3 linked regions of the Neodiprion lecontei genome follow. The protein of the gene in region 1 purifies or fractionates together with the protein of each later gene. This does not show direct contact. Links are inferred from orthologs where the notes say so. Each region holds a gene or a part of one and is shown in the gene's direction. Other genes may lie near its edges.

Region 1 (8,425 bases):
ATTTGGAATGGTGCATAACCGTCGTCACCAGCATCTCCCATAAAGTCAAACCACCTCTTGGGCGTACATTTGCTCGCTCCCCACGGAAGACACATAATGTCAAATACTAGTTCACCTGTGCTGGGATACGATACTCCCTTGCACGAATTGAAAGCACTATTTATGTAACGATCAGTTATGTAGACATCTATTTCATTAACGTAGGTTTTATCTATAAATGACACATAATGAGTATATTAATAATTGAACCGAATTCTCAAATTACACGAGCCTACATGAACTTTACTCCAGAAACTGAAGATTAAAAGAAAGGTTGTTTCATGCTGGATATATGGTTCATCATCTTAAAATTCGAGAAATTTGTATGCAATAAAAAAAAAAAAAAAACCCAACATTTATCGCATGTGATGAAAAGTTTGTCAATTGCTCTACATTCAACATCAAAAGCCCAATACAGAGAAATCATTATGATTGACCGATCAGTCTTCATTTGATAATGGTATTACTCAGTCGTAATTTAACTTACTATCGGCTGTTACATTGGTGCTCGTGACATCAATAAATTTACTCTGAAACGGGCTGCATGTAAATTCACATATGTGTTTAACCCAATTATTGAGACAGCTCGGACATCTTTGCAACAAGATAGCGCCCTGATTTACTTGGGTATTCAGGGTCGTCAATTGCTGCGGACTACAGCAAGTCGTTGTACCATTTTCTGTATTGTTTATAAGGTGCGAACACCATGTGGATAGAAGCTCCTGTCCAGTCTTATTCAATGGTTTCGCTTCTCCTGTATATAGGCAATTTAGCATACCTCTTGGGCCCTTATAACACTCATCATACCATATGCAGTGTCCATCATCAGTGCTAGATACCTTTTAGAAAAAGAATATACATACATGTGTTCAAGCCTTTTGATTCAGACGACAATTGAAAGATTTTTCGAATTTGCAATAGGGATATGTTCAAAGTATCATGTTTCTGCAAAATAGTTGATTATATGCATCGAATATTATTTCGGTACATAAATGCTTTGGTAAGGAGTCAACATCTCATATAGTGATACAATTTCACTATCCTATTAGAATGATATTAGAACGAAAGTTACGACACGTTGTTGTGTCAGAATATGATAACGACTATCGAGAAAAACCAAGTTTGATACGTTAATTAAATATTATGATATAACTGTGGAAATAAAACTTTCCACATCCAGAGTACATTAGAAGCCAAGCAAAGTTCAAAATCCATGAATTTTCGCTTGAAATATAAAAAAAAAAAAAATCAAGGTCGCAATAGTTATATATATACACGTCTGTTCGCATTCGAAAACCAGTTCTTAAAGTCAACTGAAACCTTACGAGCATTCCTGAGATTACCTTGGAATGAAAATCTTCCGAACGGCGTACTAGTTACTCTATAGGGGGACTCTACTTACTCTCTGTCATGTTTTTTTGTTACGATAATGTATGCACAATTATGCATATACCTATAATCGTGCGAAGTCGAGAAAACAAGTAATATATAATGTAGTCGCCAAAGCTTTGATAAATTGCCAGGGCATATTCCTAATTACAAAGTTGCTGCTTCGGCTCATTGGCGAAATTTGATACGATCTCACTGACGTTGAACTTGTGAAAAGTGACTAATCAAATAATCTACGGACTCGACGAGTCATTTTTAGACCATCGTAGGTACGCATTTATAATGTACACTCAGATAGAGTTATCGCAAATCGTATCAACGGCGTATTTATCTATCACGAATTTCTTGTATGCGAAGCATGTCATATTAATTGGAAATTGACGCCATATTATAATCATACAATGTCATAAGACAGTTGATACGGATGCAGGATTTGTTAGCGCAATGTACAGGGTTATGATGTACCGAAGCTAATTCAACGGTCTAAAGTCTTTAATGGACAATGCAGAGGAGGCAATTAGATTTAATAACCTCGTCAATGATCATCAATAAGCGTTTAAGACGATGAGGTGATGTGACGTCACGCACAAAGAAAAATATCCGACCGTTAGCGCCTTTTCTTCATCGTCATGGGTGTGGTGTGATAAAACAATAAATATATTATATATATGTGTGCGTGTGTATGTGCATACGTTACTTTAAGTAAGCAAATATTTGTTACGTACCACAACCAGCAATCCGGCAAATGCAAAAAGAAACGCCGAGGTTTTATCGAACATTTTTGCACCTGTCAAAGCCCAAGCGCTTGACGATGAAAGTCCACTCCGACTTCTTCTATTTCACTACTTGCCAATCTAGCATTTACTAATAATTGCCAGCTCCGGGCTTACAATAATAAGAACACGAACGTATCTATGTACTTTGGTACGTGTTAAATGTCTTTGACATATATCAATTTTTTTAAATACTTAATCACTGTACAACACAATCCTACGCACGTCAGTAACGATCAGTGCGTAAAAATATATTCACTAGGCGCTAATGTTTCACGCGAGTGGTCGCGACAACGCTTGCTACGCACGGAAACCACGAGTGAACTAAAATGAATCAATCGAGACTCGAACCTTCCTCGAGCGAGGGTCTGGGGGTCGAATCAACTCATCGACCGTTCGTCATTCGTCCAATCAGGATCGCTCTACCACGATTCTACTGCCGCTTAATGCATGAATCATGACATGCTGTGCTCGTGATTTTTGCAATATATTATACTATGCCATGAGGCGTTTGCAATGACATTTAAAAATAATTATATCTGAGTCCATCTCAGATGTTTTTTGTTCCAGCTTGGCCATGAAAAATTTGTTATATTTAATTGACAATTGCTAATTGGAAATATCCAGCCGTCCGCGGAAGTGCAATGGGAACATTGCGGTGGCGCATGACACAACAAAATTGCGATTTGAATCATAATCAAATAGAATAAACTTAAGTACTTGACTATGATATTCCAATTAAACAAAGCTGTGTAATCGTTGATTCGTAATTCGTCTTATCTCTCTGTTGGCTTAATTGTTTGCGCGCAAGTGTCGCAATTTGAAATAATCGAGTATGTATACATGTAATATGTATTGTATTGTAACCAGTGAGTCTCCCTCTGTAGTGTGCATAAAAAAACATTGGATAGATAGTCACTGAGGAACACTGGTCGAATAAATGCTCTAAAGCGTTGGAAACACGGAAGGCACTGCAAAGATGCGCGAAAGTGACTTGTGATCGTGCTTGTGATGATCCAGCGTAGCAAGACGTATTGAAATTAAGGTTAATTTTTTTCCCCATTCCCGAACTAACTACCCAAATGATCATTCGGTTAGCTGGTTGCTCAAGTTTTATAAGCGTCTCGTACTGTAGTTGATAAGCATTTGACAAAAAAAAAAGTTGAAAAGGCATACTTCATTACACAATTTTACACAAGTCAAAATCGAAACCAACCATGGCAGATCTTAGAATTGGAGAGTTATCTCCTGATCAAACAGAAAAAGTTCTTCAATTTCAGGTAAATTTCCTCCTTCATACTTGAACTTTTGTCAAAAACTTACCTATCGATAAGTTAATTACCGTCACCACATTTTTCTAGGACTTGACCGGTATCGATGATTTGTCTGTGTGTCAAGATGTTCTACATCGTCACAATTGGAACTTGGAAGTAGCTGTACAGGTACATTAAACTTGCAGATCATTCATTTTCCTGATTACTTATCGACCAGGAAGCATCTTTGTTTTAATAACTGTTTTTCTTTTTTGTCAACAATCTTAACCTCCAACCCGAGCCTTTATATTTATTACTCGATGAAAATCTAGGAGCAACTCAACCTGTACGAAGGAAGACCCTCCATGTATGCGCAAGATTCACGGTCTCGGCCACCGCCAGTCATTGATGATACGGGATTTCGAATTTATTTTAACCCTCCAAACACTTCGGATAATGGCGGCAGTTTATTCTCTTATATTTACACATTGTGGTGCAATATTGTCTCTAGTATCGGACAACTACTCCTTGCTATATTTCGCTCAGACATTAGACCTAGTAAGTGTAATCATAGTGAATTCCGTTAACTTATTGTTACTCTGTTGCGTAGTGATAAATCGCTAATACAAAGGTTGTGACTGCTGTCGACTTGTAACGTAGCAATCCAGGTTCATCTTTAAGATTCGACTAACATCATATGTCGCTGTGTTTTACAATAACTCCATAAAACCATTTACATATTCGCAGTATCCTCGGATCCTGTGGAGGATGTTGTAAATTTCATAAGAGTATATGAGGAGCGCTACGGAAATATCCATCCTGTATTTTATCAAGGATCCTACAGCCAAGCTATTTCTGATGCGAAACAGGAGCTCAGATTCTTACTAGTTTATTTACACAAAGACGAAGCTCAAGATATTGATCAATGGTGCAGGTAATCTTGGTTCACTGCTTGATTCGGATTTCTAACTTTCTTCCTGCGTGTGGATGATTTTCAATCACATAAATATTATCTCTTAGTGTCAAAGTAATTAACATGTGCAAGAGCCACGCTCACAATCTGAAGATCCCATATTTCCACTGATAATATCAAAGTTATATACTGAAGTGTTTATAAAGCACTTTCAAAAATGAAATTTTATTATTGCTGAACGTATAATGAAAGACATGCATACATGCCAAGCTATGGCATTTTCGTGATACTTAAAGCTCTTACACATCTCCGGTAGACTATATTCTATTCTGTAAGTTTTGCAGCCAGAAATAATATCTATCATATATTCATTTACTCCTCAGAAGGACTCTGGGCGATCCAGAGGTGGTGAGGTTTATCAATACGCGAACACTATTCTGGGCATGTAACGTCCAGTCTGGAGAAGGCTATAAGGTTTCAGAAGCTCTTAGGTCAGGCACTTACCCTTTCCTTGCCCTTATTGTTCTCAGGGATAACAGAATGACTATCGTTGGGCGGTGAGTGGTAAAACTACGACATATGTTACAGATTAATCATGCTGCCAGTACCTCTTAGTCAAACACATAACACAAATGCGCGTTATTGTGGTAGACTATATTTGGAATGTTCAAGACTGTTTTTGTATTTCATATAAAATAGCATCTGATAACAGATGACACATTTACCTTCAGCACCCATCAGTTATTAGGCACTATGTCATACTAAATAAAATGACACCAAAAATAGCTTAAAGGTTGATTCTACTTTAAGCACAATTTGAAGAATGGAGAATCCAGTTTATAAAAGTCACTAGCCTGTGCGTACCTTTATTTATGGGGAATTCACTCTCAACAAATAAATTACTTTGTCATACCGATTCAAATTAACTGTTAATTACACAGAATATCGGATAAATTTGAATTTTTCTATTAATCATGATATTATTAAATGATCTCAGCATGGAAGGTTCACCTACACCATCTGAACTGATTCCTCGCCTGCAAACTATTATGGAAAATAACGAAATCGGTCTTATTCAGGCAAGACAAGATAGGTAAGATATATCAATTGTACATACATATCCACTTATACCTGGTAAATTATAACAAATAACAAAGAAACCCGATCGAAAATTGCATGAAGTTGAAGTTAGTACCGTTATTGTAACGACACACTGAGAAAGAAATCACTGCCCCGCAACTTTAGAATGACTTCAAAGAAGTACAGTTTCCGAAATGGCTATGTTTTACTTTTCAATATGGTTTGCGCAATCTCTTGACAATCTCAAAATTGTGAGATAACAATTTTTCCTAAACATGCATCGTTATGTCAACGATATATGAACTTCAACCTTGCACCGCAAACCAATCTTATAAAATCAGATTGCAATTCTCTTTACCCAAAATCTTCTGATATTTGGATGCTTAAGGCTTTCAATGATTTCGTTATGCTTGCAAGTGTGAGTACAATAAGGGCCAGCCCGAATTGACAGCAGAGTTTATACTGTACTCAAAGGTCTAATCGGCAAAACTAGAATTCATAGAATTAAATATTATCAAATTAATTGTATATACTGTTACATTGTTCAGGGCAGAACGTAGTGCAACTCAGTCTCTGCGTCAGCAACAAGATGAAGCTTATGAAGAATCATTAAGAGCTGACCAAGAGAAGGACCGACGAAGAGAAGAGGAGCGAAGAGCAAAAGAAGAGAAAGAAGCCAAGGAAAAAGAAGAACTCAATGCTCAAGAGCGGGAAATTCAAAGAATTCGGCAAGAGAAAGAGCTCACAGTTAAGAAAGTTCCATTAGAGCCCAACCTTTCTAACCCTAATGTGTGTCATCTTCAAATAAAACTCGGCGAAAGAACTATGAAAAGAAGATTTCTATTGTCTGACACAACCGAGGTAAATTTTTTATTGAGATACGCATCACAGTCGTCCTAACTATGTCAGTAAAATATCATCAAATATCAACTATGTCAGTAAACACACATTGGAAGTACACAAAAAGATCCGTCACATAATATGATTATTATATGATGTGACCCTTTACATTGGTCCAAAAACTATGGACATTGACTATCTAATTGTAAGTTTATTTTGGAACATAATTCTCTTGAATTTTACTATTCATTTCAGGACGTGTACCATTGGATATTCTGTCAGCCAGATTCGCCAGCTAATTTTGAAATTACAACTAGTTACCCAAGAAGAATTCTTTATCCAGCCAACATTATACGGACATTGGGTGAAGCTGGATTAACACAGCGAGAAGTGCTACACGTTAATAATTTGGATGATTAACACTGACCAATATACCTACCTACATTCACTATTTTCGGTGTCACTCCGAGGAATGAATGATTCAGCGGAAAGAGACGTTTACTGAAAGATAATATATATTTGATACATTCTAGTATTTTACATACTACGCCACTGCTACACGGTAGTAAAAAAAAAAAAAAACTATCGAGAGATATATAATTATTGAAGATTTGAATATGTTAAGCTTTACAAAAAGCTTCTTAATATGTATAATATTTCTACAGAGATGTACTAAATTAATATAGTAGATACTTAACCATTTTTTCCTGCGTCACCTACAAGCGGATTTTTATACGTGATTCATTGGGTCACCTTGGTCTTTCTACAAATATGCTTCTGAACATCACAATCATTTCTATCTCGTAGGGAAAAAATTAATTTTGCACAGCTATGAATTAGTCAATTAAACCATTATGGAACATAATATATCACTCGATGCTTCGACCCATACAATAACGTATTGTTTCTCAGTTACTTCAAAATGAAATAGGCACCCATTTAAAAAGAAATCAGGGATATTGTGGAGGTTTAGGCTTAAGAAATACATGCGTTAATCGGCGAACACTATGGACTCGAAGTATAAAAGATGCAAGCTAGTCCTAATTAAGAAAAAGATACTTCAATTACTCAATCCTTATAACAAAATTATGTTATATTTAATAACGGCGGTACTCTTTACATCGAGTCTTATTATCGAACGTTATAGGCCTGATTTTAGATGAGATTTTACTTAAAATTATTGTACCGTAACATGCCTACGGAAAAGTATGTATGTAATTAAAAATTTACCGTATGAATAAAAACTGAAAGTTTTCATTGCAAATCTAGCAAAGTTCGAAAAGTATAATTTTATTCTACTATTTCAACATACGGGTTTTTACTCATTTTTACGCATGATAGAATAACCATATCAATTATCTACCCCTTGTAAGCTTGAATCACGAAGTCACTCAAATGCGTGAATCGACAGAACTTGCCGCAGTAATCGTTTACATTGGGTTACTTTTTTGTACCACCAGCGTCGCTAGTGTTCCTTTTGTACCGAAGTGTCATTAGTTGCAGAGATGTTCAAAGTCGACTAATCGATGACAGTGCTGCCAGAAAGCGAGTAAAAAGTATCCCTTCCCTAGCAGCTTGCGCGCATCTCACACAACGTCAACGGTGCACGTCGGTGTGTCGGGATGGCGACGGAAGCCGAACGATGCCGAGTCAGCTGACAAATCGAGGGGAAATGTTCCCCTACCAAGCAATGAAGAGAGCGCACACACACAACGTCACACAGCTGTGCGCGGGATCTGTGGAAGGGGTACTTTTTACTCGCTTTCTGGCAGCACTGATCGATGATCGTGCAATGTGATAAGTGATTCGTAGAAAGTTTTCACTGCCGCCCTATACTCCGTCCACCGTCTTCGGTGCATGCAGCTGTTTATGTACGTGGAGTTCGAGCACTTTGTGTAGTCATGTGTAGTTTCCATGCGCAAGGTAGTACTGCGCCAATGATATGGCTGCACAATTTACGTGATAACACCATGTGACGCTACCTGCACTTTCCAGAGTACAGTTGTTAGTCTAGTCCGCGAGTGATGGAACTTATTGTTTTTCCGTTTCGGAATACAGTGTCAGCAGTACGAGAACCATTTCAGTACGCCAACATTACTTGCTCTGGTGTATGAAATTTTGTACATGAAAACATTTAT
Region 2 (7,856 bases), on another chromosome or scaffold:
CTAATGGTGAAAAAATAGCAGCAGTAAAATAATAAATTCAAATTTTTATTGACGTGAAATACAGCTGATAAAGGTTTTTCTTTTTGTTTTTTCTACACTTGTTTTAGAATACTGTAAATTCTTCTTGTGACATTGTACAAGCACATTCACGTAATCGAGGAAAGATTTTGGTAACAGTCGTGGTCTGCAAGTTGCTGTTGGAATGAAAGAAAAAGAAAAAAAAAAGACTAACAGTGAAATAATATTTAATTTATATTAACACCGTAACACACAGAAACGCGATTATAGGTATAACATTGCGTAGGCTAATATTGTATATTTTGATTTTTAAATTAAATTAAAAGGAACGATCAATTTGCGTTATTGTTATTGTAAACGACAAAAATACTTATCCTGAATAACATTCACAAGAAAGGACATTATTGTGAAACTATGTTCAATTCTAGTACGAACAAGGAATACCGGCAAGATCGACGTCACGAAGATTGTATTTATACTGGTAGCGAATTTACATCCGCATGGCCTTACAATTGCATAAAACAATCAACACCTCGCTAGTCTAACTATACATTGCACTACATTTTGACTACAATAAAATCCGTGTGTTAATTTACGTGAAAAGTATACATCTCACAGATTATTTTGATTGCTTGGATACTTGGAAATTAATCAATTTTTTGACAGGGAAAAAATTGAACTTTTTACAAATATCAAATTGTGCATTGCGTGTTGTATACGAACACCCGAACGGTTCCCGGTTCGTCGATAGTAAATACAATAATATACTCGTTATTTTTAGAATGTAAATGATCGAGGTGTGGCGATTGCTGGCTACAAATCTCGATACATTTTGTAAGAGGTTTCGTTCGGGCTATGACCAGGAGAACCATGAACGATTTACTGCTTCCTTTGCAGTTTCTTGGTTAGGCGATGACGGAACAGAGGTTGAAGGTGTAGTAGGTGTGGTGGGCAACACAGGTTCAGTAGGCTTGACGTTGACTTTATTGTTGGTTTCCGTTTGCATGTTCGACTCGTATTGCCGTACGTCTTCCAGTGTCATTCCGTACCAATCGTCTATCCACGCAAAGGCTTGTCGATGTCCAAGTAAAAGAATATCCCTTATACACTGTAAAATATTTTTGAAAATCAGTTATTTGCACAGCTGAGTGTTGGGATTGACTGTGCAGCCTTTGGCTAGAATTCTAATCGACAATCGGAGGGAAGTAATTTCTCACTCTGTGAATAAACTCCTCGACTCGTGTCCGCATTCCCCAGACATCGAACGAAGCCTGAACCAATTTATACGAGCACATTATAGGCTGCGTAACATCTCTCCATCCTTCAACGAGAGGACCTCGTCCAGTTACTTTCGATTTAAAGTATTTTGGATCCTGAGTAGAAAATGAAGAATTGCATTCAGTCTAATGCGAATAACGTATGACAGACGCTAAAAGTGCAGGAAACATACCTCCTCCTCTTTGTAGTGCTTGGCAGCTATTTCATCATATGCGATGTCAATATAATCAACTTCCCGATGAATAAGTTCCACAGGAGTTAAATCTAAGCACTACCCATTGACTAGATATTAGAATCAATGATTGAAACGGTGACATATATATCATTCAATATTACAAGTGAATAACTCACGTTTTCATTTGAGCCATTGTTGTTTTCGTATCTAGTATTGATAGATATGTGAAATGTGGGTATGAACGAACACTGAAATACAAATACACCCGTTGTACAATGCATAATGGAATTTTAATGAAATTTAATGCATAATACTCACTGTGTAAACTGTGAAGATCACCATTGCCCCATGTAACAAAATATTACATATTATTTTATTTGCAGGGAATGGAAAAGTGTTCCAAAACAAATAGGGTATGGTTTATATGTTCTAAGGTACTTGGGAGTGATTCGTTGCAGATTTGAATTGAATCACCTTTAATTTCCAACAAAAGTTGAAACATCTCACCCGTAATTGTGAAAGGATAGTAGTTCCAAGCTTTTTCAGTAATGTAAAATATCTTCGGTACAAATGATTGGATCCAATACGGTAGTTTACTGAAATGAAGGAGGAGAACAATAACGGTTGAAATAACATAAAGGCATGGAAGATTGAAAACGATATAGAAAACTGCTTCATTATCCATGGATCAAGAATATATTACTTTGAAAGATGAATCCTCTTCTCAGTAAATTGACCTGTTCCATGAGTGGCATGTTCGCACGGCGACGTCTCAATAACTTCGACACCTTCATCGGAATCAGATTGCTCGTGACTGTGTCGCGCAATCATATACAATTGTCCGATTTGATACTAAAATGATAAACGATGAGAGAAATTTTGGAATTTTATTTTCTCCAACATTACTTGGCAAATACTGTAACTAGGTCCTTGTTACGTGAACCGATATTTGAATTCTCACTCGCGAAGGAATGATTGCCGATGCATCATATTTGGATAAATATATTCGATTGATTGTGCGATTATTCATCCAAATTAAATATAATAATATACGCAAATCAACATGTTTATATAGAATTGCCTATAATCGTTGTAACAGTGATTTTATTCATAATTGATTCGTGCATAATTGAAAAAAGAATTTAAAATTATAATCTCATTACCTCGTCCGTGGTAAACGGCATGCATATCCGATATTCCTTGGTCAACACCATTCTAATCACGACAAGTTATAAGTTATATTTAATCTGACAAGATTAGAAGTTAATCCTCCAATGTGAAATTAATATTTTTCAGTTATAAAATCGTAATGTAAATTGGGAAAATTTATAGCGAGATACAATTTTCGAAACTATGTATACCGCAAGTACAACATACGTGGTCTGCTTTGATGGGACAAACCATAGACGACGAAACACCATAAGATAAACAAACGCGAATAGGACGAAAATGCAGCCTACTTCAAGCCGCGCTTACCCCATCTGAAAAGCATCGATACATCGTTACAGCTGATATCTGATATGCAGCTCACTTCGCATTGCCACACACTGCACACGTAATGTATGTACGTACATACGTGTATATTTATATTACGTGTACCAAATTGAAGTGACTGACAAGTTTTTCTGTGATGTGGACAATGATTACGTTATGATAACGCGAAAGGATGAACGACATGCAACTGTAAAATAGGAAAGAGAATAGCCTGTCAGAGGGTAGAAATATAACCGTCGTTAAATGGCTTATCAAACGTTTAGGCAGGAATACCTGCAAATGCCCGTGGTGACACGAGCGTATACGACTGCTTGTGTCATCACGACTCTAGCCGTGGTATACATACGTATTTTATTATCTTCGTACAAAATTTTCCGTCAGAGTTCACTCGATTCTCGATATTATTCAGATTCCATGTTACCCCCGTGATTACTGCACTTTTCAGTATTGACAAAACGTTCGTCATTACTGCGAGGTTAAATTTGTGTCAAATTAAATTTTTATTCTTTTTCTTACAGCAATTGGACCTCGTCTCTCCATTCCAATTATACTTCAATCCGATTTTAATACTGAAACAATATCAGGTAATTTTCTCAATCAGTTTCTACGTTAGAAAATATAAATATCGTTCCACGGTGAGTTAATATCTCTCTCTTGTTAATTATACCTTTGCAGTTATGGCGACTGATCACAACTTTCCTATTCTTCGGGACGGTTGGATTCAATTTCTTCTTCAATATGATATTTACGTATCGCTATTGTCGGATGCTGGAAGAAGTCTCGTTCCGCGGTAGAACCGCCGACTTTGTTATGATGTTCATATTTGGTGGCATCTGCATGATTGTATCCTTGTCTATGAACTTTTCGTCTCCGTTTTATTTTATTATTGTATCATCCGCATTGCTCTAGTTGAGTATTATTCCTCAAATTCTTACAGATATTCGCATTTTTCGTTAATTTATTGTTCCTTGGCCAAGCACTCACCATCATGTTGGTGTATATATGGTCAAGACGGAATCCTTTTGTCAGAATGAACTTTTTTGGACTCCTCAACTTTCAAGTACGCTTGCAGATAATTAAATTGGAAAAATAGAAGGAATATCGATTTTGATGTAACAGACGCATTGTAATTTTTTCCGTTCTACATAGGCGCCATACTTGCCTTGGGTGCTCTTAGGATTCTCCGTTCTATTAGGCAATGCAATTTGGGTTGATTTGATCGGAATGGCAGTAGGACACATGTACTACTTTGCTGAAGATGTATTTCCACGACAAAATGGTGGTTTTCGCATACTCAAGACCCCGCAGATATTGTGAGTTATTCAGATTTATCTACTGTCTTCAAATTAAGGCTCTCACCAAAGGTTAGGTCATACTTCTTATAATAAATTTCTGTGTTCAGAAAAACTCTGTTCGATGCACATACGGAGGATCCAAATTACACACCGTTACCTGAGGATAGGCCGGGCGGTTTTAACTGGGGTCAAGGTGCTAACGTGCAATGATTCGCAGACAAATTCGCCGAATTAACACCACATTATTATCATCACCCGAGCGTTTCAAGTAAATCCTTCAGTTATTTTTTTGTCGTATATAACAGTTACTTTAATTTGACATAATGCTGCATATTTTTTGAAGATATTTAATTGTAGTTTAAGTGCTGGGTATCTATGGCATATCCACTCGAAACAGTTGCAATTGTTATGCATGCATCAAACTTTAATGATTTGAGGGGTTTTGCTGAATATTTACAATTTTTAAACCAAGAAACCCGTGCTTATGCAATATCTCATTCAGCATTGACATTTTCTAAAGCTATTCAAAAATTGAGTAATAACAGAAAACTACTTGAATGAGTTCCTGCCGTCACTCTTCTAGAATCACTAGATCAATCGGAAGGAAAATCTTATATTCCAATTATCAAGTTAATTTTACGTACAAGTAACATAGGTTGTTATGGTAAAAGGTATGATTGAATGATCGAACGATGCTCTGCTACCATAGTGAGATGACATTAAAGGCATTAGAAAACAAGTTTTCGCAATTTATCATACATGCAATTCTCAAATTATATAATTAGATGTTGGTAGTAAACTTGAATGGTCGTTTGAAAAACCTGTTTAAAAACATGGCAAGCGTTGGTTTGCATCTCAATTGTCTATGTAAGTTTCGTCATAATATATTTATATTTGTGTAAAATGTCTTACTATCTGTGATTTAGCTATAAAAATAAAGTATCAATTAAAATTCTCCAGGTGAAATGAACTCAGAAGTTTCTGCATCGGATAATGTCAGAACATTTCTAAGGCTTTTAATAATGATAGTTGTGAACTCGTGCGCATAATGTCTAACTAGAAGTAGAATCTTTCCGATTAACCATTGGGGCTCAGCTACAAATGTAAGCAGTATATTTTATTAATAACAACGGTCCATGACTATGATTTCTTAAAATCAAACATACGGTGCAGAAAATTATACATCCAATTCTCACATTCTTAAAACCATTTCCCAAAGATCAGCTTTAATATTCGTACAATCAATAGTACCTTTTCAAAATATTTAAGTATTATCGTAAGCGTTTAATTTATTGATACCTCTAAACATATTGTTTTTGCCGTCAAACGTTTTCGAATGTACAGTTAACCGAAGTCTATTATCATGTTTTCAAGAGTGCTATTCCTTGAATACTTGAAATAATTCAACAATTTGTCAGACTTTCGGAATGAGCTATTTAAATAACGCTTTTGTCCACTATTCATTTACGTTGGTAGAACGTTCATTGTAGAGTAAACGTTAGCCATGTGTCTGAAATGAATTCATCAGAGTGAATCATGATTTGAAAAATCATTTATTTAGATTTAAATAGTAATGGGTTATAATATTGGGATAGAATGATGTGCAACTTAATACATATATGCAATGACATGGACTATAATACAATGATCGGGGCTCTATTATACACATTTTTTAGTTATATCGCCACTGTTGCTAGAAGCACCGTGATATCATCTGGTTTACCACCTGTAACAAACAATGATATTTTGTTGTTCATGTTCTCTGAAGTGAAAATATTGCATGAAAATTTCGCAAGACCAAAGTACGTGTTGAAATTGGTTCAAGAGTAAGCGGTGGCTGCATTTCATGCCCAGTACTAACCTATAGCATCTATTCCATTTTCTCTAGCATTTTGGGCAAATGGTGACATAAAAGCCCCGTCGAACGCAAGACTGCGGGCCATCCAGGCTATTGAATTGGCAACACCCTGCAATTTCGTAGGATCACGCTCTCCTTGGACTTTGCGCATCTCGGTGACTAACAACTGGTCAGGTACATTGTCGAAAACTCCGTCAGTTGCTAAAAGAATAACATCCCCATCTTCCACGCCAAAGCTGGAAGTGTCCGCAGCTTCGGGCCTATAAAAATATTACTAAACTTGTAAAATATTGTCGGGTTCAAACTTCTAGCAGGGAATCGGCATATCATACACGCATATAATTGTTTGTATTCAAAGTTTAGATCCCAAAATTATAATCCAATTGTAAATAACGTGAAGTTTGTTAAAAAGAGAAAGAAAAAAAAAAAGAATAAACATATAATAGAGAATAAATGCACCCTATTTATAATTATTCAAAGTGTAATTATTATGTCAACTGTATTTGGGATTCGAAATGGCAATTAATGAAAAACTAATTAGTTGTTACTGCAAGTAAAAATTAATTGTCTCTCACCTGTCGCTAAGTACCAACCCACTGTGGCCAGGAGGTGGTGACGACAATTGAAACGGAGTGTTGAAGTAGTGCTGCTGTTCCGATGAACGATGCACTACTTCTCCTCTCCTGACAACCACAAATCCGCTGTCTCCTATATTAGCTGCATAAATGCTGCTGGTCTCTTTATTTAATACTATGACGCACGCGGTGCTGCTGCCTAAATTTAATATGTTTAAAAGAAGATGCATCAGTGTCTAAATTTGAAGTCCAAAGTTGGACAATTTCTATTGCGTATATTTTTTAAATATTCCTTACCGGGTATGGGCTGCTTGTTTTCCAATAACTCATAGTAGCTACGCGCCAGTAAACCTGCAGGTTCTGACGGGGTAAACCTGCCCATTGTGACTAGCCTTTCACAGGTTCTCATTAGAAAATTTGAAAACTCTCCAGGGTCAATTCCGTAGTGTCTCCATCCACCTACGCCGTCGGCGACACCTAGTATAATCGAATAATTAAATGGAAACTCAGAATTATCAATTGAAAGTCCTACGTCGGATTTTTATTTGTACAATACTGAGCTACAATTTCTTGTTGGTTGAAAATAAAAAAAGTTATTGCGGGAATATAAGTAGCAATTCAGACAAGCTGGTGAAAAAATGGTTCACCGAAATATAGTGCATATCTAATTCGATCGTGTTTGTGTAATATTATAGCTATGTAACGAGACAAGTATATATCTATACATAATGCTCTGGTCACAGGATCGCATCTGTGAATCGGTCACGTGCCACGCGCAAACGTTTGATGTTTCTTTTCAACAGAAACTAAAAATAAACTGACTTGTGAATGCGAGTCAATTTTGGCAGCATGCATTTAAGGTAGAGGGAAGGACGGGTAATATTTATAAGTTTTGAACGGTTGCCACAGTGTCACATGCTTGAAGTTTCATTGTTGTCACACTTTTTTACTTTCCAAATACAGTATATGCATTATATTCTTAGACAAAACAATATTTTTTTCAATCCTAGGTTGCATTCAATGAGCGAGACTCAACTCGAGCAGTTGCTATTATTATTACTATTATTGTTGTTATTGAGTAATTTTGTAAAAATTTGATATTTACTGTGAAATTATTATTTATGCGCTGAATATGAGTCAAAGTTTATCAGCATTGCTTGTTC
Region 3 (7,309 bases), on another chromosome or scaffold:
CAGTGATGGCGCGCGATGAAGTCCGGTTTCTTATGGTATCTACCCCCGAGTGCAGGTGGTGTACAGTGAAAATTAAGGAATAGTCTTGGGACTGAGCGTGCGCTGACCCTCCTGGCAACGGATGAAGCCAGTCGGTGCAGTTCGCAGGCGGCAGACCTGTTGCCGCGAAGACGCGGGGCGAGCTTGAAAGGCAACCACACTCCACCGGTACCACCCGACAAATACCATCTTTCCAGAGAAATAACAAGGTGGAGAGCCAAGCTGCGAAGTAAAGGACGGTGCGGTTACACACTCGACACTTCCACCTGCCAACCCACGGTATTCTTGGGGCACAGAGCGTCGCTCCGATTCCCTACCTACATTTCTCTCCCTAATAATAGATCCCTAGTATTTTCCACTCTCTACATACGCCTCTTCGTTGTTCCTTGTAGACAAGGGTTACCTACGCGCCACTCGATGACGGTAGCGATCATCGGGATATAATTCCACTACAATCGCAAACCAGGCTTTGATCTTCCCACTTCGCACTAATTCGCTATTATAACGACGCGTAGATTCGAATTTTGAATTGGAAAAACTGGGGTGACCTTGCGCGTAGAAAACCTTGCGTCTTTCTCTTAAGAAAAGTAAACGCGTCACAAGTATAATCTTGCACACATATATATATTATATGTGCGGGGAATATAATACGCAGCTACGTCTGCGGATGGGATATCGGGAAATGTTCTCTGTCGCAATCGCGTAATTTCAATTATATGTGGATAAAGGAAACGACGAAAGTTCAATTTTATTCAATTAAATTCAAGTATGCAAACATGTTTCATGTTGTTTACCGAATTACAAATTTTGAGTTTCGATATTGACGTAGATCACTTATTTCGCATCGGTATATTAATGATAGTTAGACACGTGGCGGATACATGTCTGTTGAATCGTAACAAGAATTTTATGGCGTTATATAGCTAGAAGTCACGAGGTATTGTATACGTATATAAACGCCTGAGCGAGCGCAATACGGCTTGCAAAATTGGCTGACAGGTTGTTTGCGTGCAGGAGTAATGACACAATCATTCATGAACTACGTCATAGTGTGATGTAGGCGAGTGGTGAAATTTATATTTTGGATCAGTAACGAAATCTTTGAAGTTCTTTTCGGCCATAGCGATAGAAACAGAGATAAAAAAAAGATCGCGTGAAATGGTTTCGTCATTCATTTCCATTGTGGTTTAGGACTTCATTTTTTAAACCAATTTCTTGCGAAGGATCGGATATTTAACGAGAAGACATGAGAGGTAAAAACACGTAAAGTCACATTTAGTAACTTGCAGGAGGGGTGTTTGGTATAACGGAAAAGTACGAAAGTCGAAATCTCGCGGTTACTAAGTGTTTAGCTTAATGATCACGCACCGCAGATAATGCGAGATGCATAGAAATACAGGACAATTTGTTTTACGCAGTTACTTCATTTCAAAACATTGACTAATCATATTATTATACTTGCCAGTATTAAGCTTAAAAACACCGTGCTTTATACAACACTAGCACAACGTGAAAACAAAAATAATAATAACAACGATTATAATCCAAATGTGAAATGATGTATAGAGAATAAAGAGGTAACTCGTTAATGCCGGACACATCCTGACACCCAGATGAACTATTAATTAACTGCCAAACTGATCGATTGTTATTCTTATTATATGTGTTTATTTTTATAACACAATATGCGTACATGCAATTATAATTACGCACGCAATGATCATACAACATTACACACAAATGTGCATACATGTGTGTGTCAATGTGTTGTCTATGCTTCCGTCTATGTATACACAGAGTAGATGTAACATAAATATAGCCGTACTATGTATACAGATTCTTAAGTCAACGTGTAGTGCAACCTGTTTAAGAATGTATCGGACCGGGTGTACAGTCTAATCGGAAAACTGTCCGAGGAGAGAAAACGAAATTAAACATCCGTTTAGAAGGTGCGACTGAAACTGATGTAGTTGAATTCGACGAAAGACGAATATTCCTCTGACGTAGAAGAAAAAATTTCTTTTTTACGAAATCCCGCGAATTTGAGTCGAAACGTCTGATTATCAGCTGCACTTTCGTGCAAATTTTTTTGGGGAATGCTTGATATAAATGTCTCATAGAATTCATTATATTCTTCAACGAAGCATAAATTTATCGTTTTCTGCTTATCAATGCAGTTTTGTCAGAATATTTTTTGATTAATTAATGATAATAATGAAAATTGGACAAAAGATTATATAGATTTGGTATAGAATGTTGCGATAATAATAATATAGATATAGGGTTTTTATCATTACTGCGTGATGTCGAGAGGATATATAATCTTTTCAATCAATTTCAAATTTATCGTTTAACTTCGCAGTTTAAGTTCGCAGATTTGGAATCTAATTTATTACGAGGTTGAAGTTGGTAACGTTATCGTAACGGAACATCGTGAAAAACTTCACTACTTCGCAATTTTAACACGAACTTGAAAAACTAATATTTATCATAAGAGTTATATCTTGTTTTGTTAAGGTTTACTAATTTTATACTATACCATGGTCACGAAACAACAGTTTTTCGCTAACATGAACCGTTACGACAATGTTGCTAACTTCAACATGATAATTTATTATATTTCACAGTTTTTTGTTTTCAAATGTTTTTCGACCAGACTGTACCGCATACTATACGTATATCGACGTATCCTATTCCATTCCTTTTTTTTCCCTTCTCTCTATCGACTAAAATACGCGAATGCAGATTCGCAGACTGAAAAATATATTAGCTGGCGATGATTTTCTATGAGAAATGGGGTGAAACGGCGAGAGTTACCGACGAAAATTCGGATCATCTAGAAGAAGCGGGGCCCTCCTCTTTTTATTGAGCCTGCACGCGGCTGGTACGCGAGTGTCAGTGGCTCCTTGACGACGAGAATAGAGTCGAGTCGTCGACTCGGGTGAAATATCTCTCAATTTATCGTTTAAAAAGTTGTTGCGCGCGGTTAGGCAGAGGAATATTAACCGATTATCGTGGACTCTGATGAACGGCGATAAAATAAAGGGGGTAACGTAACTGGTTATGTGCGATCGCGAGTGATAATTATAAGTACAAAACTTACCGTGTAGTAATACTTTAGCGTAGAGAGGTTATGGGCACGTAAGGTTGACTCGGCAGTTTTTCCACAGCTGACTAGGGATTTTGATCGGGCTTTGTTAACACAGGCAAGCCTTGTGGCAGCGGGCTCGAAACTCTCTCTCGAACAGCTGATGCTTCTGGAATACCGGCGAAATGTCAAAATCAACGCTAATTGTAAGTCTATTTGAATCCGCACCGTCACCTATGACTCAAACAACCGACAAATTAAGTCGCCCACTATACCGATAACCGTAGATATTTATTAGCCGTAACCTTTTCATTCCCCCCGACCCACGCCGCGTTTTGCGCCTTTGTCATTACCTACGATGGGGAAAAATATAATACGTACATGTCTATGCATATAATATATGTATAATACATTGTTGAAATATTCAAGAACAGTAACGAAAGTATTTTCTTCTCTTTTTTAACCTAAAGGGAAAAAATACTGTTAATTTATTTCACTGCGATGCTAATTACTTTCATGCAACCCCTTATTTTGTCATTCAATTTTCAGACTCTCAGAGTTCAATCACCCGAAGGCACCAAACGGATAGAAGTGAGACCGACTGATACAGTCCGTGATCTCTTTGAAAAGGTTTGACTTATTTGGCAATTTATTTTGCAAAAGAAATTACTAATAATAAGGTATTTTGTACTTCTGCTTGTTATTTGTAAGAGCAGATTGCAATTCTCATAATTTTTCTTTACTCGCAAATTCATTGCAAGTTGTCGCTGTAAATGCTAGCCTTTGTGACTTAAAATAAGTGAAACCACTGGCTCAAGTTTGTGCGTACAGTTTATCATGCTTGAGCTGAGAGCCATCTATTGTCGGTAAAGATAACACATTTTTCTCTAGTCATTGTTCTTGAAATATTTTTTAAATACTGTCTATTCTAGTGACGAAGCAATGCGTGATTCAATGATAACAACAGATTTGGAAAGAACTGGTCACGATTTAGTTATTGAAAACATTATACAGCGAATCAGAGTTTGCTTAGAAGTACTTGGATTAATGATGTTGTCTTTACGGTGTCACCATCAATTCAATTCTCATGTTTTAGGTACATGATACGTTTAACTTGGACAGCTTTAGTTTTGGATTATATAAACTAAAAAATCACAAGGATGAACTCGTATCTTCTCGAAGCAAAACAGTCCTTGGAACAGGATTGTCTCACGGCGATATGGTCTACCTTGTGCCCCTCAATGGCACAGTATTACGGCCACAGGATGGACCATCGACTAGTAGTGCCTCCATAAATATTCCTGCCGGTAATCTTCACTAAGATGTTATAAGTATAAATTATAATAATTGCCAGCAGTACTTTGGTATAACTTCGCTTGATGTAAACTGGAAGCTCGTCGCTGTACAACATAGTTTAAGAATTTTTAAACAATCAATACAATGGGTGAAGAATAGATTTGTTATACTTGCTCTTATTTGTAGGACTTATAGTTAATATCGATCGTCGCACAATGTAAAAGCATTTTGAGCAGTAAGTTAAGAATGAATTTTTCAAGTACTAAATCAGATTGAAGTTCGTAACGCTATAGTAATGATGCATCAGCAGTAAACCGTAATATAGCATTTACAAACTCAGATCTTGTGAATTCAACTCCTCTAGTTATACCGAAACTGTGAAATAGTTAATTTTGTTTCAACATTTTGTTATGTTAATGTTACCAACTGCGGCCTCATAACATTCAATCCTAATAAGGTTAACTGATCTTAGCAGAACCAATGCCGAGTACGAGCAGATTATCGCAGGGATCTATGGCCATCAATTCATCTCGACCTCTTGCCAGTGTCACGGAAGATGAAGTAGATCAACAACTGTGGAAGCTTGATGGCAAGATACAGCAGAAGCGTGACGAGAAATTGTGAGTCTAATGTATGATTATCATTCACATCGCCTATCCGTTTGATTCCTTTTCTACAAATGTACCCCTGAGCGCTCAAAGGTCAATTTTGAGAGATTAGATCGACTTTAAGTGAAAAGAAATTCAGAAATTTTCTAAGTTAAGACGAGTACTCGATTAATATCTATTGCTATTCATGATCCTAATATTTACAGATGCCGCCATGGTGCAAACGGGTGCTGCGTGCACTGCTCACCATTAGAACCATTTGATGAAGCATACCTCAAGGAACAAAACATCAAGCATTTATCATTCCACTCGTACCTCAGAAAGCTCACAGCTGGGGTTGATAGGTATGTCATTACGTAGAGAGTTCGATGTTGAAGTCAAGCTGTGACACTAAAAATATTTGGAAGTCATAATTATAATGTTACAACTGATAGAAGTAAGTGAATTTTTAGAAATGAAACGGCATTATAATTTAATTTAAAACTTATCATCTTTCACAGAGGGAAATTTCTTCAACTGGAGGACATAAGTTGTCGCATAAAGACAGGCTGCAAAGATCACCCACCATGGCCTCGTGGGATTTGCAGTAAATGTCAGCCCAACGCTATCACGTTGAATCGGCAACAGTATCGTCACGTTGATAACGTCATGTTTGAGAATGCTAGTCTAGTGGAGCGCTTTTTGAACTACTGGCGTAGTACCGGACATCAACGTGTTGGTTACCTCTATGGTAGATATGAAATACACTCAGACGTACCCCTAGGCATTAGGGCTGTAGTTGCTGCAATATACGAACCTCCACAAGTAAGTTGTTCAATATTCGTAAGAACAATTCGAATGATCTTCGACTTTAGTAACATATTAAAGCTCTTCAAATCACAAAACTTATATTTATTTTATCTACAAATGGCTTATAATTCCTCTCAGGACAGCACGAGAGATACTGTATCTCTCCTACCAGATCCAAGACAAGAATTAGTCGACGAACTTGCTCGACTTCTTGGTTTGCAAAGAGTGGGGTGGATATTCACAGATTTAATTGCTGAAGATGTCAAAAAAGGCACGGTACGTATTGGCTGACGTCCAAGCTTTAATTTTCATTTTGAAACAAACGCCGCGACAAGATCTGTGGATAATGCGTTATTCAAAAATAATTAATTGCATATGAATGTGTATTTTTCCAGGTGAAACACGTCAGAAATATAGACAGTCACTTTTTATCAGCACAAGAGTGTATTATGGCAGGATACTTTCAAAACCAGCATCCGAATCCATGCCGTTTTTCACCGAGTGGTTATTTTGGCTCAAAGTTCGTCACAGTCTGTGTCACAGGTAATGTATAATTATTAACAATATATTAATCAGAGTGTTTATCACGCTTGCTGTATTATTCGGTACAATATGGTATAAATTTACTGCAGTGCACCTCCTAGTAAATCAGAGCCTTTCGTTTTACATTGCAATCAAAAACTGTTCTCAGAATATTCTTTACCTTTTCCTTTGATCTCCAGGTGACGATAAGAATCAAGTGCACATGGAAGGATACGAAGTCTCTAATCAGTGCATGGCATTGGTACGTGATGGGTGTCTAGTCCCAACCAAGGATGCGCAGGAGCTTGGCTACGTTATTGAGTCCACAGATAAGCAATATGTTCCTGATGTTTACTATAAGGTAAGTGACAACTTCCTCTTCTTTTGAATTGCCCTTATTGAATTTTATGAAATGTTGTAAGGTTTCTTGGGTGGGTAAATTCAATTTCAGCTGTTTTCCAATATTCGTTTAAACAATAAAATAATATATATGGAGTGAGAAATTAATTGCGGTATTAAGTTTCCGTCACGTACTTATTTTATTTTCAAACATTTTTTTTCGCGCACATATACATTGGATGGTTCACATGTTTTACAATGATGAGGTCGTCTAACATTAATTTTTATAATCACCGTTTATTCTCGTTAAAAAGTAAATCGCCAATTACAGCATCATTGAAATGCTCACAATCCTTCGGTTATACGATCTTCAACGATTTTAATAACATGTCTTTGTGATATTAAGAATTTTCTTACCACGTAACTTAATTATTTCCAACGGTGCTATTCGAATTCGTTTTACATTTAACTTTTTTTTTTTACCATCGCATTTATACGTATATTCTTTTGTATACATATATTTATTCATATTTCTGCTGCTGATAACAGTGGCTATATATTCAATTTCAACTACTATTTTGAATTTCTCAACTACTGCGAGCCATAAATCTCTAATCATTCGTTGCAA

The links. Proteins that work in one complex are often made in the same cells at the same time.
Region 2: the proteins of FAS-associated factor 2 (region 1) and derlin-2 purify together in Homo sapiens (affinity purification with mass spectrometry; 5 studies listed by BioGRID and IntAct, counting the BioPlex papers as one, with this or other methods). This does not show direct contact. The link is inferred for Neodiprion lecontei from reciprocal best matches to the Homo sapiens genes FAF2 and DERL2.
Region 3: the proteins of FAS-associated factor 2 (region 1) and nuclear protein localization protein 4 homolog purify together in Homo sapiens (affinity purification with mass spectrometry; 3 studies listed by BioGRID and IntAct, with this or other methods). This does not show direct contact. The link is inferred for Neodiprion lecontei from reciprocal best matches to the Homo sapiens genes FAF2 and NPLOC4.

What each region holds. Positions count from the first base shown.
Region 1 is NC_060260.1:29,803,072-29,811,496, reverse strand, and holds FAS-associated factor 2, read left to right. Parts: upstream 1-2,923; 5' UTR 2,924-3,418; coding exon 3,419-3,481; intron 3,482-3,562; coding exon 3,563-3,643; intron 3,644-3,786; coding exon 3,787-4,012; intron 4,013-4,201; coding exon 4,202-4,388; intron 4,389-4,750; coding exon 4,751-4,924; intron 4,925-5,364; coding exon 5,365-5,460; intron 5,461-5,995; coding exon 5,996-6,308; intron 6,309-6,542; coding exon 6,543-6,707; 3' UTR 6,708-6,839; downstream 6,840-8,425. Other genes in the region: NPC intracellular cholesterol transporter 1, read right to left, coding at 1-211, 527-878, 2,154-2,207. UniProt on the Homo sapiens protein: Plays an important role in endoplasmic reticulum-associated degradation (ERAD) that mediates ubiquitin-dependent degradation of misfolded endoplasmic reticulum proteins.
Region 2 is NC_060263.1:3,015,622-3,023,477, reverse strand, and holds derlin-2, read left to right. Parts: upstream 1-3,051; 5' UTR 3,052-3,208; coding exon 3,209-3,301; intron 3,302-3,483; coding exon 3,484-3,549; intron 3,550-3,640; coding exon 3,641-3,808; intron 3,809-3,902; coding exon 3,903-4,025; intron 4,026-4,114; coding exon 4,115-4,278; intron 4,279-4,367; coding exon 4,368-4,470; 3' UTR 4,471-4,528; intron 4,529-5,794; exon of another isoform or gene 5,795-5,936; coding exon of another isoform or gene 5,937-5,986; intron 5,987-6,121; downstream 6,122-7,856. Other genes in the region: cytoplasmic phosphatidylinositol transfer protein 1, read right to left, coding at 872-1,126, 1,236-1,391, 1,469-1,567, 1,648-1,719, 1,790-1,797, 1,946-2,067, 2,175-2,323, 2,635-2,686 and 1 more; protein phosphatase PTC7 homolog, read right to left, coding at 5,937-5,986, 6,122-6,378, 6,694-6,892, 6,991-7,170.
Region 3 is NC_060264.1:8,319,083-8,326,391, forward strand, and holds the start of nuclear protein localization protein 4 homolog, read left to right. Parts: upstream 1-3,245; 5' UTR 3,246-3,312; coding exon 3,313-3,333; intron 3,334-3,676; coding exon 3,677-3,757; intron 3,758-4,223; coding exon 4,224-4,434; intron 4,435-4,895; coding exon 4,896-5,043; intron 5,044-5,237; coding exon 5,238-5,375; intron 5,376-5,531; coding exon 5,532-5,835; intron 5,836-5,958; coding exon 5,959-6,096; intron 6,097-6,215; coding exon 6,216-6,363; intron 6,364-6,542; coding exon 6,543-6,703; intron 6,704-6,857; exon of another isoform or gene 6,858-7,309. UniProt on the Homo sapiens protein: The ternary complex containing UFD1, VCP and NPLOC4 binds ubiquitinated proteins and is necessary for the export of misfolded proteins from the ER to the cytoplasm, where they are degraded by the proteasome.